2 linked regions of the Arabidopsis thaliana genome follow. The protein of the gene in region 2 interacts with the protein of the main gene of each other region in a pairwise test. Each region holds a gene or a part of one and is shown on either strand. Other genes may lie near its edges.

Region 1 (5,424 bases), on a different chromosome or scaffold from region 2:
GCCAGTGGTCTTTTGACACCATTTCAAGGGATTGGATTTCTCGGGCTGCAGTTGCTTTTAGGCTTAGGGATTCTTCTCCAACTTAACAATTACAGGTTTGTTTGGATTTTTTACTTGCCCTAAAGTCGCGTATTTGCAAGTGTTTGTTTAAAAATTCACATACACATATGGTTCACCCTTATGTAGTTGGCCCAAATTCTGAAGATATGTTCTCAGGTCTTGTCTTTAGTTTTGTGATCAAATTCTTTTCTACTTGAGCTCATTTCAGTATGTATATTCTGCAGCCGTGTTTTAGGGGCTTCATCTTTGTTACTTGTCTTTTCCTACCCACTTATGAAGAGGTTTACATTTTGGGTAATTTAAATCTATTCTGGCTTCTCAAAGTTAGACATTATATATTTTCTGATTTTCTTATGATTGATTCGTTTTTATAATTGCAGCCTCAAGCCTTTTTAGGTTTGACCATAAACTGGGGAGCATTGTTAGGATGGACTGCAGTTAAAGGAAGCATAGCACCATCTATTGTACTCCCTCTCTATCTCTCCGGAGTCTGCTGGACCCTTGTTTATGATACTATTTATGCACATCAGGTATATTCACTTTTTATTTTTTAGCTTCAAAATCTATTTGATTATGACCAGTAGCAAAGTAGTTAATCTCAATGTGTGCATATTGCTTGCTTTGTTTTCTTTTTCTAGCTTCACCACCACAGATTTCTTTTTCAGCTTTTGTTTCATGTCTCATGCAAATGCATCCATTTCGATGTTCGACTTTTGTCAATCATAAAGAAGAAAATTACCCTGATCTCCCACCTTTTCCATCTGATTTCTATACTTTAAGTGAAGAGTTAGCCCCATAAAAGTCTTCCCGTTTGCAACAGAAGTGAGAAAAGAAAGTTACCTTTGTGGCCCATTGAAAATGAAATAGTATATGCCACAAGCTACGAACCCAAAATTTCAGCTCAAGTTCAGTTTTTATGCAAGTAATTTTGAGATATTCTAGGTTAAATCATTTTTTTTCCATGGACTAATGTCTAATATATTGTGTCTCCAGGACAAAGAAGATGATGTAAAAGTTGGTGTTAAGTCAACAGCCCTTAGATTCGGTGATAATACAAAGCTTTGGTTAACTGGATTTGGCACAGCATCCATAGGTTTTCTTGCACTTTCTGGATTCAGTGCAGATCTCGGTACTCAATAAACTTTACAAGGACTCATTTGTGATTCCTAATTCCATTTACTGTCTTTTGATTCTTTTTGTTTCTCGCTCTAATGATTAAGGGTGGCAATATTACGCATCACTGGCCGCTGCATCAGGACAGTTAGGATGGCAAATAGGGACAGCTGACTTATCATCTGGTGCTGACTGCAGTAGAAAGTATGAAAATTTGGGTTTATCTTTTGTACTCTTTCACAATCCAATTATGTGATTTGCCTTGGAAAACCTAATAGTGTTTTTATATCTGTACAGATTTGTGTCGAACAAGTGGTTTGGTGCTATTATATTTAGTGGAGTTGTACTTGGAAGAAGTTTTCAATAAAGACTCTCTCTCTGTCAACGAATGAGGATGAAGCTGTAGTGTGAGGAACCTATATATGAAGAATTGAAGTAGACTTTTGAGACACACTGTAAGTGAAACAGAGGACATGGTCTTGCTACAAAGTGGGTCTCCTTCAGGATTGAAATGATCAAGGAGCCATTGCCAGAAAAGCTGAAACTTAACTCTTTTAGATTAGTGACTAGTTACTACTGGTTCTTGTAAAAGAAGCTATTGTTGTTGTTTGGGATCCATGTCTTTTCTTCCAGGAGGTAGTTTGGCTGTATGTATACAATGATCATGACCTTCTGGTCAAACAAGAGGCTTTACTTTTGGCTTTTATAGTTGACATACGCAATATCATTGATTTTGTAACCTAAAGGATGTTAATAACTTTTCCTTTTTCAATCTCAAATTGCAAAAGATTAACATTGAATTAGCCGTGTGATTGATTGGAGAAGTGGAAACAACTAATATGCAGAAGATTTCCACATCCACTAATTTATCTTCCAATGGGACAAATACTTTTGTTTATACGCGGTTCAACTACGTACCAATAAAAACACGCCACGTGGTCATCGTGTCTGATCTCAGACATTAAAAAGCCATAAGAATCGGAGATACAATCTTTCTCTCTCGATTGACTTTATTGACTGAGAGAAAGCTTTTGACAATGGGCCACAGACACAGCAAGTCCAAATCCTCCGATCCGCCACCGTCCTCCTCCTCCTCTTCCTCCGGCAACGTAGTCCACCATGTTAAACCTGCCGGAGAACGCCGCGGATCATCCGGTTCCGGAACCGTCGGATCGTCAGGCTCCGGAACAGGCGGATCTCGTTCCACCACATCTACTCAGCAGAATGGTCGGATCTTAGGTCGGCCGATGGAGGAAGTACGGAGAACCTATGAGTTTGGTCGTGAGCTTGGTCGTGGCCAGTTTGGTGTCACGTACCTCGTAACTCACAAAGAGACGAAACAACAGGTCGCTTGCAAGTCAATCCCTACGCGCCGCCTTGTTCACAAAGACGACATTGAAGATGTTCGCCGTGAAGTCCAGATTATGCACCATCTCAGCGGTCACCGGTAAATCTCTTTTTTTGTATCTCACTGGAAAATGCTTCTTTGACATTTTCCGAAATCGAATCTGAAACGCCTTTTGTTGGAATATTGGTGAATATTTAGACATAGGATTCGTTTTCTATATTAATGAATGGTTTGCATCATATGTGGATGAAAAGTTTGGTGGTCCTATGTTAAACTCTTGAAAAAGTTTCCCTTTTTGCATATTTATATTTACCTGAGTTTCAAATTGGTGAGTTGATTATAGGAACATAGTGGACTTGAAGGGAGCCTACGAGGACAGACACTCTGTGAATCTGATAATGGAGTTGTGTGAAGGAGGGGAATTGTTCGATAGGATCATTTCTAAAGGTCTTTACTCAGAGAGAGCTGCTGCGGATTTGTGTAGGCAGATGGTGATGGTTGTGCATAGTTGTCATTCTATGGGTGTAATGCACCGAGACTTGAAGCCCGAAAACTTTCTCTTTCTTAGTAAAGATGAGAACTCACCATTGAAAGCTACAGACTTTGGTCTCTCTGTCTTCTTCAAGCCAGGTTTGAACAGCCTCTATCCTTCCCTATTTGATTTCTATAGACAATTTATCCCTCTAATGAAGTTGATCCATTAATGCAGGTGATAAGTTTAAGGATCTTGTTGGAAGTGCATACTATGTTGCCCCAGAAGTTCTAAAACGGAACTATGGACCAGAGGCTGATATCTGGAGTGCTGGTGTGATTCTATACATCCTTCTCAGTGGTGTTCCGCCTTTCTGGGGAGGTATTGTCTTGATCTTATTTGAGAAGAGAATTTGGTTTCACTGTTTAAATGTTGGACTGGAATGTATAGTCACGTTCTTTCTGTTGTGCAGAAAATGAAACGGGGATCTTTGATGCCATTCTTCAAGGGCAACTTGATTTTTCAGCTGATCCATGGCCAGCACTATCAGATGGTGCCAAAGATCTTGTGAGGAAAATGTTAAAATATGACCCTAAAGATCGGCTTACAGCTGCGGAAGTGCTAAGTAAGACCCCTTTATAACATGTTTTGATGAATAAATTGATGAAAACACCTTCTTTTATCCAATTTTAATAACGTTTTGATACATACGCAGATCATCCGTGGATTAGAGAAGATGGGGAGGCATCAGACAAACCGCTTGACAATGCGGTGTTATCCAGGATGAAACAATTCCGGGCGATGAACAAACTAAAAAAAATGGCCCTGAAGGTAATTAAAACACTGATTGAAACAGTCTTACCATCACTATTGTAGTTTATGTAGTCTTCTTGTTCTAAAGCCAATCTTTGGTTTTCGTTTTGCAATTTCAGGTTATCGCTGAGAACCTTTCTGAAGAAGAAATCATTGGTCTTAAAGAGATGTTCAAATCTCTAGACACTGATAACAATGGAATAGTCACCTTGGAGGAATTGAGAACCGGTCTCCCAAAACTTGGTTCAAAGATCTCTGAAGCTGAAATAAGGCAGTTAATGGAAGCAGTAAGTCTATCACAATCCACTACTTTGATGTCAAAGCAATAATGCTTATGATGCTTTGTTTCTTTTAGGCTGATATGGATGGAGATGGATCAATTGATTACTTGGAGTTTATATCAGCCACAATGCATATGAACAGAATCGAACGTGAGGATCACTTGTACACCGCATTCCAGTTCTTTGACAATGACAACAGCGGGTAAAACATTGTTCTTTAGCTCTCTATTTCTTTCTTTAACAAGCTATAAATAAAGTCTCACTCTTTGATCTTGATTTGTGATATTAGCTACATAACAATGGAAGAGCTAGAGCTAGCCATGAAGAAATACAACATGGGTGATGATAAATCCATCAAAGAGATCATTGCTGAAGTAGACACCGATCGTGTAAGTATACGTAAATCTCTGGTTTCGTCCAATTCATACATCTGTAAGTATACGTGTAAGTTTAACACTCTCTTCTCATCTTTGTATTCGAATCTTTAGGACGGAAAAATCAACTACGAAGAATTTGTAGCGATGATGAAGAAGGGAAATCCAGAATTGGTGCCAAACCGACGCAGAATGTGAGAGATCTTTTGATGTTGTTTGTTTGTTTTTGGTTATCACTTTACTCAAACTTTGTGTTTCTGTTACAATCAATTATTTTGTTTCCTGCAATCTCTTTTTATCAACACAACATAAAAAATACTTTGAGATCAGAAAGCCATTTGCAGGTTTGGTTAATGACTTATGAGAGATTCAATATATAATAATTACAGGTTGATTCTTGCATGATTTGAAGCTGAAATTCACTTAAAAAATTATAGAATGATAATCTTAACCCTTACAAACAAATTTGAGATTATATCTAATCAAGGCAATAAAAAAATAAGCAAGGTGCAGTAGGAGGGATTAGAAGTTTCAAATCCGATTTTTATACATGAAAAATGACGAAATCTAATAATCTTGGTGACATTTTCTCACAGAGAAATCGGACAACTAAAATGAGTAAAAAAAATTAAAAGAACGAATAAAAAATCAACTGAGATATATATAAAAAAAAAACTGGAAGAAGAAGAAGGACCGCGAGCTTTGGATCGAATTTGTTAAATTTTTCTTCTCTCGATAATAAAAACAACAAATGATCGTTGATCGTTTTTCTCTAGATTCGATTCCGATTCCAAAGAACTAGTCTCCGGCGTGTAATCTCTGATCGTTGAAGATCCAAGCTACGCCGCATCTTACTCGCCGGCGGCTTGAATCATGGTATGTCGCTCCCTTCTCTCGACCGATACGTCGGAAATCTTAAACCCCTAGATTCCTTATTGCTACTCCTGCGGAATTACAATTGTT
Region 2 (3,889 bases):
ATTCAGAAGTTGAAACATCAAAACCTTCTTCTCCTAAGGTTAGTGATTGATTTCTTACGTACAAGACAAGTTTCAAAAAAATGTTGTTAACTCTTTATCTCTCATTGTATGATTTTGTAGAGTAAAGCTGAAGAAAACATCTACTTAGGACCACATGGAGCTCCTCCTTCGCAGCTACAAGATGGTGGTAGTAACACATCGAGCCGCAAGCAGCGGTTTAAGCAGATGCTCAAGGAAGCAGATCAGAAAATGAGCGGCTCTGGTCGAGAAAACAAAATGGCTAACTTAAGAGAGCTTGTAGGCGGGGGTGCAGGTGCAGAGAAAGGAACTAATATGGGAAAAGGTGTTTCAAGAGACTGGCTTGACCCTCATTGCCATGAATCTCAGTTCGAGAAACGACGACTTCCATAACGCGAGAAACCGCTATCTTTTGAAAATGTTTTGTATCAATCAAAATACCAAAAAAGTTTAAAGCAATAAAACAGTCTTCATACCCTGTCCTTTGAGAGAATCATCCATGAATTCTTGGTCATGGAGCATAACACTAGAGAGCTTCATATGTATAGATGTATGTAAAATTATACACTCAGCATCAAGAAACGATCAAAGAGTTAGAGTGTGGCATTACATTACAAACACAAACAGGAAAAAACAAACAAAATTTCGAAAAACTGTTCACTCTCTTCGGCTTTTTGTTGTGTGAAGGTATAACTAAACAAAGATTCTGATTCGTCTTCGCAAGATGATGATGATGATGAGGCTTACCTTTGAATCTGAGACGTGGTCTGAGCTAAAACGATGTCAGAAGTCGTGAGAGTTCCTGATTCATCGTAATCAAGTTGCTCGAACTCATCCATTATCCCAGAAATATCTTTCTCATCAATCTTACCCATTTCTTTCAGTTTATACACAATAAACTCTGCAGCTCTGCAACACACAATAGACAAAAAAAAAAGAATAAGAAGAGGAAGAAGGAAACAGAAGATAGAATATGTCTGATGTCTTTCTTACCCAACAACTCCATCTTCATCGAGATCAGCTGCTTCGAGATCATTGTTTGTGATTCTTCGCGTTAAAACCCATTTCACCAACGCCCTCTGTTTGTTTTCTGTATTTAGCTCAGCTACATAAAGGAAAAACTGAGCCAAACATATGCTGCTCGTCAAGATCCAAAACACAGCAAAAAGGCGTCCGGCTTCCGAGTTAAAGCTCTTATCTCCATAACCCAATGTTGTAACCGTGGAGCAGACGCAGTAGAAAGCTGAGATAACCGGCATTTTCTCAACCATTACAAGGAAAATCGTGCCAACAATGAAGAGGACTACAAGGACAAGGCATGTAGCATAGCATTTGTATCTCAACTTGTTAGTATGCAACTCCTTGAGAATGTCTGTTGGACCAAAGCTTTGACGCAAATGGAAAGCCCTAACGAGCAAAGCCTCTTGTTTCTCCACTAGATAATCCGCCGCTCGACTTAAGAGGTGACCAACGAGGACCATTCCCGAGAAGACGAAGGCACAAGCAAGTAGCCTTGAGGCGGAACTATTAGGGACAAGGTCACCGTATCCAACAGTTGTCATCGTTACTATACAGAAATAGAGAGCATCTACCACACCACTGGTTTTATGACCGGAGATCTGGTCTCTCACGAGGTAGAAACAGAGCGTACCAATGGTAAGATATAAAGCCAAGAACATGATCACTCGCCTGAGATTCGGGTTTAGATCACTGAACATTGGGATTTTACTCGGATGAGGAGGTGGTTCGTCGATTTTGACATCATCATTGTACATACAATCACCACGAGGAGCACTTCTAGAGCGACGCAATCTTCGTTTTCTTGAAGAAGAAGTTCTTGAGTTCAGGTTGAAATCTTGAGCCATGGTATCTATCTTCTCAGTGGGTAACAATGGCGTACGAGCTGCATCACTCGACATTTCTAGACTCAAACCAGATTAACTATGAGATCTGCACAGAACAATCAAATCTCATGTTTATGTTACGAAAACCATCGCCAAAATTGACATCTCCTGTTCTGAGAAATGAACATATGTATCAAAAAATTTGAATTTCGTAACAGAAACTTGTCAGAACTTAGATACAGATTTTGAGTTATAGCTAAAGATTAGACCTTTAGACAATGAAAAGATGAGTTTTGTGAGAGTAATCAATCAGACACAGAACACGAACTGAAGGAGGAAGAAGAATTGAGACATACCCAGGAAAGTAAGATCGAAATCAAAAGAAGCGGTGTTGTCGGATCTCGCAATTGGTCTTCATTGATGATGTTCTCACAGTTGGCCAATTCTTGTTTTTATTTTATTTTAATTATCTTCTTTTTTTTTGGTCAAAATTTATTCTCTTCAAATCCGATAATTTTGTTTTTATGATCTTCTTCATTTTCTTGATAGGATTTTTCATTAGTATCTTAGTATAAAAATGTTTTGTTTTGTTTTTTAAATGTTTTTTTTCATATAGAAGAATGTATGTAATGTCTTAATTTTCTAGTTAGTTTTCTATCCTTCTGTTTTTTTTTTGTGCAAATCTAGTAATTAGTTTTATATTATACACTCATAATCACAAGTAATGTACAAGCCAATAAGCCAAAATATCCAGCATGACGTCATGTTTAATCTATATCATACAATAATCTATATGTTTTATGTTAATGTCAATATGTTAAGATTTTTATAAGTCGATAAATCACATTTTTTTAGTGTTATACATGACATCAAAGATGTTATTAATGCACTCATATGATACATATATATGTGAAGAATTGCATACTTCAAAACATCCCCACACACAAAGAAATATAACACACACTAGTATTTGACATAGTTCTAAAACATTACTAAGTGATTGATATACATGGTAATTTGACATAATTTTAAAAACATTCAACCACTCGAGTATAGGCTCATTGATATGCATGTGGAGAGCGATATAAGATCATTCAACACCAACATAGACCATCTAAAGCTGATCAGGCCAGAGAAATGATTCAATTGCAAAAACCCTCTTGTCTTCAAGAGATCCTTCAAAGGAGAATCCATATTGTTTGAGGAGCAAGTCAAGGCGGAGATCATCCATAACTTCGTAATCAGACTTGGAGTATTTAGGGTAGTGAAGAGGGACTTGGAATCCACTTGGGAATTCTTCTTTCTTCATCATCTTTATAATTTTGTTGCGGGTGCTTTGGCAGTTGCTGGCTTGATCCATATGGTTCGAGTAGCCGAACATTTGGGTGAAAGCCGATGTAAAGAGCAATTTCATTTCCATTGTCTTGGTTGATTTTAAGATTTTATACAAAAAAGGAAAGAAAACGAAGGTTTGAAATAGAGAGAAAGAGTAGAGAAGAAGAAGAAAGAGAAGCAAGGAAGCTTAAGACAAAATACCAAAAAAGGAGAAGCTTGAGACAAACTCTAAGGCAAGCTCGATGTTTGGTTATAGTAAAGGCGACCAAAGACTAGTATATATATAGAGGCAGGCAGGTAGGTCAGTAAGACAATTATTATTTGTCTTTTCGACATGATAATCGTCATTTGAATTTTATTTTTATCATCAAACTATAGTATGTAATATAAGATGTACTAGAAATTATTTGTTTTTGTTTTTTTAATTAAACAAAAGTATGATTATAACGAGTAGTTCTTGTTCTAAACCAAACCAGTAAACCTTTTTCCTTTTAATGAAAAAAAAGTATGATCATAAATAACAAAATGTGAGAACGACGGCTGTGAGCTACATGCACCAGGAAACGCATCGGCCAATGATGGTTCATGCATTCATGCACTCATTATCTTAGGTGGGGACAAGTATAAAACAGTTGTGGTGTGCAAGGAGAAAGTAGGTGAAAGTATTTAATATTTATATTAACTAAAAATAA

What was found.
Region 1: the proteins of KCO1 (region 2) and CDPK6 interact in a protein complementation assay, tested with the Arabidopsis thaliana proteins (one study listed by BioGRID).

Annotation. Positions count from the first base shown.
Region 1 is NC_003075.7:12,324,202-12,329,625, reverse strand, and holds CDPK6 (calcium-dependent protein kinase 6), read left to right. Parts: upstream 1-1,974; 5' UTR 1,975-2,210; coding exon 2,211-2,620; intron 2,621-2,864; coding exon 2,865-3,151; intron 3,152-3,230; coding exon 3,231-3,374; intron 3,375-3,465; coding exon 3,466-3,618; intron 3,619-3,708; coding exon 3,709-3,824; intron 3,825-3,925; coding exon 3,926-4,093; intron 4,094-4,161; coding exon 4,162-4,289; intron 4,290-4,376; coding exon 4,377-4,476; intron 4,477-4,575; coding exon 4,576-4,659; 3' UTR 4,660-4,868; downstream 4,869-5,424. Other genes in the region: PPT1 (polyprenyltransferase 1), read left to right, coding at 1-95, 285-354, 441-590, 699-764, 1,054-1,189, 1,281-1,377, 1,471-1,540; TRH1 (Potassium transporter family protein), read left to right, coding at 5,335-5,337. UniProt on the Arabidopsis thaliana protein: May play a role in signal transduction pathways that involve calcium as a second messenger. Functions in abscisic acid (ABA) regulation of guard cell S-type anion- and Ca(2+)-permeable channels and stomatal closure.
Region 2 is NC_003076.8:22,529,766-22,533,654, reverse strand, and holds KCO1 (Outward rectifying potassium channel protein), read right to left. Parts: upstream 2,298-3,889; 5' UTR 2,219-2,297; exon of another isoform or gene 1,969-2,218; 5' UTR 1,938-1,968; coding exon 1,012-1,937; intron 928-1,011; coding exon 762-927; 3' UTR 533-761; downstream 1-532. Other genes in the region: AT5G55640 (Na-translocating NADH-quinone reductase subunit A), read left to right, coding at 1-38, 121-411; AT5G55620 (uncharacterized protein), read right to left, coding at 2,977-3,282. UniProt on the Arabidopsis thaliana protein: Voltage-independent, large conductance and potassium-selective tonoplast ion channel. Regulated by cytoplasmic calcium and pH. Does not mediate slow-vacuolar (SV) ionic currents, but essential to establish VK currents.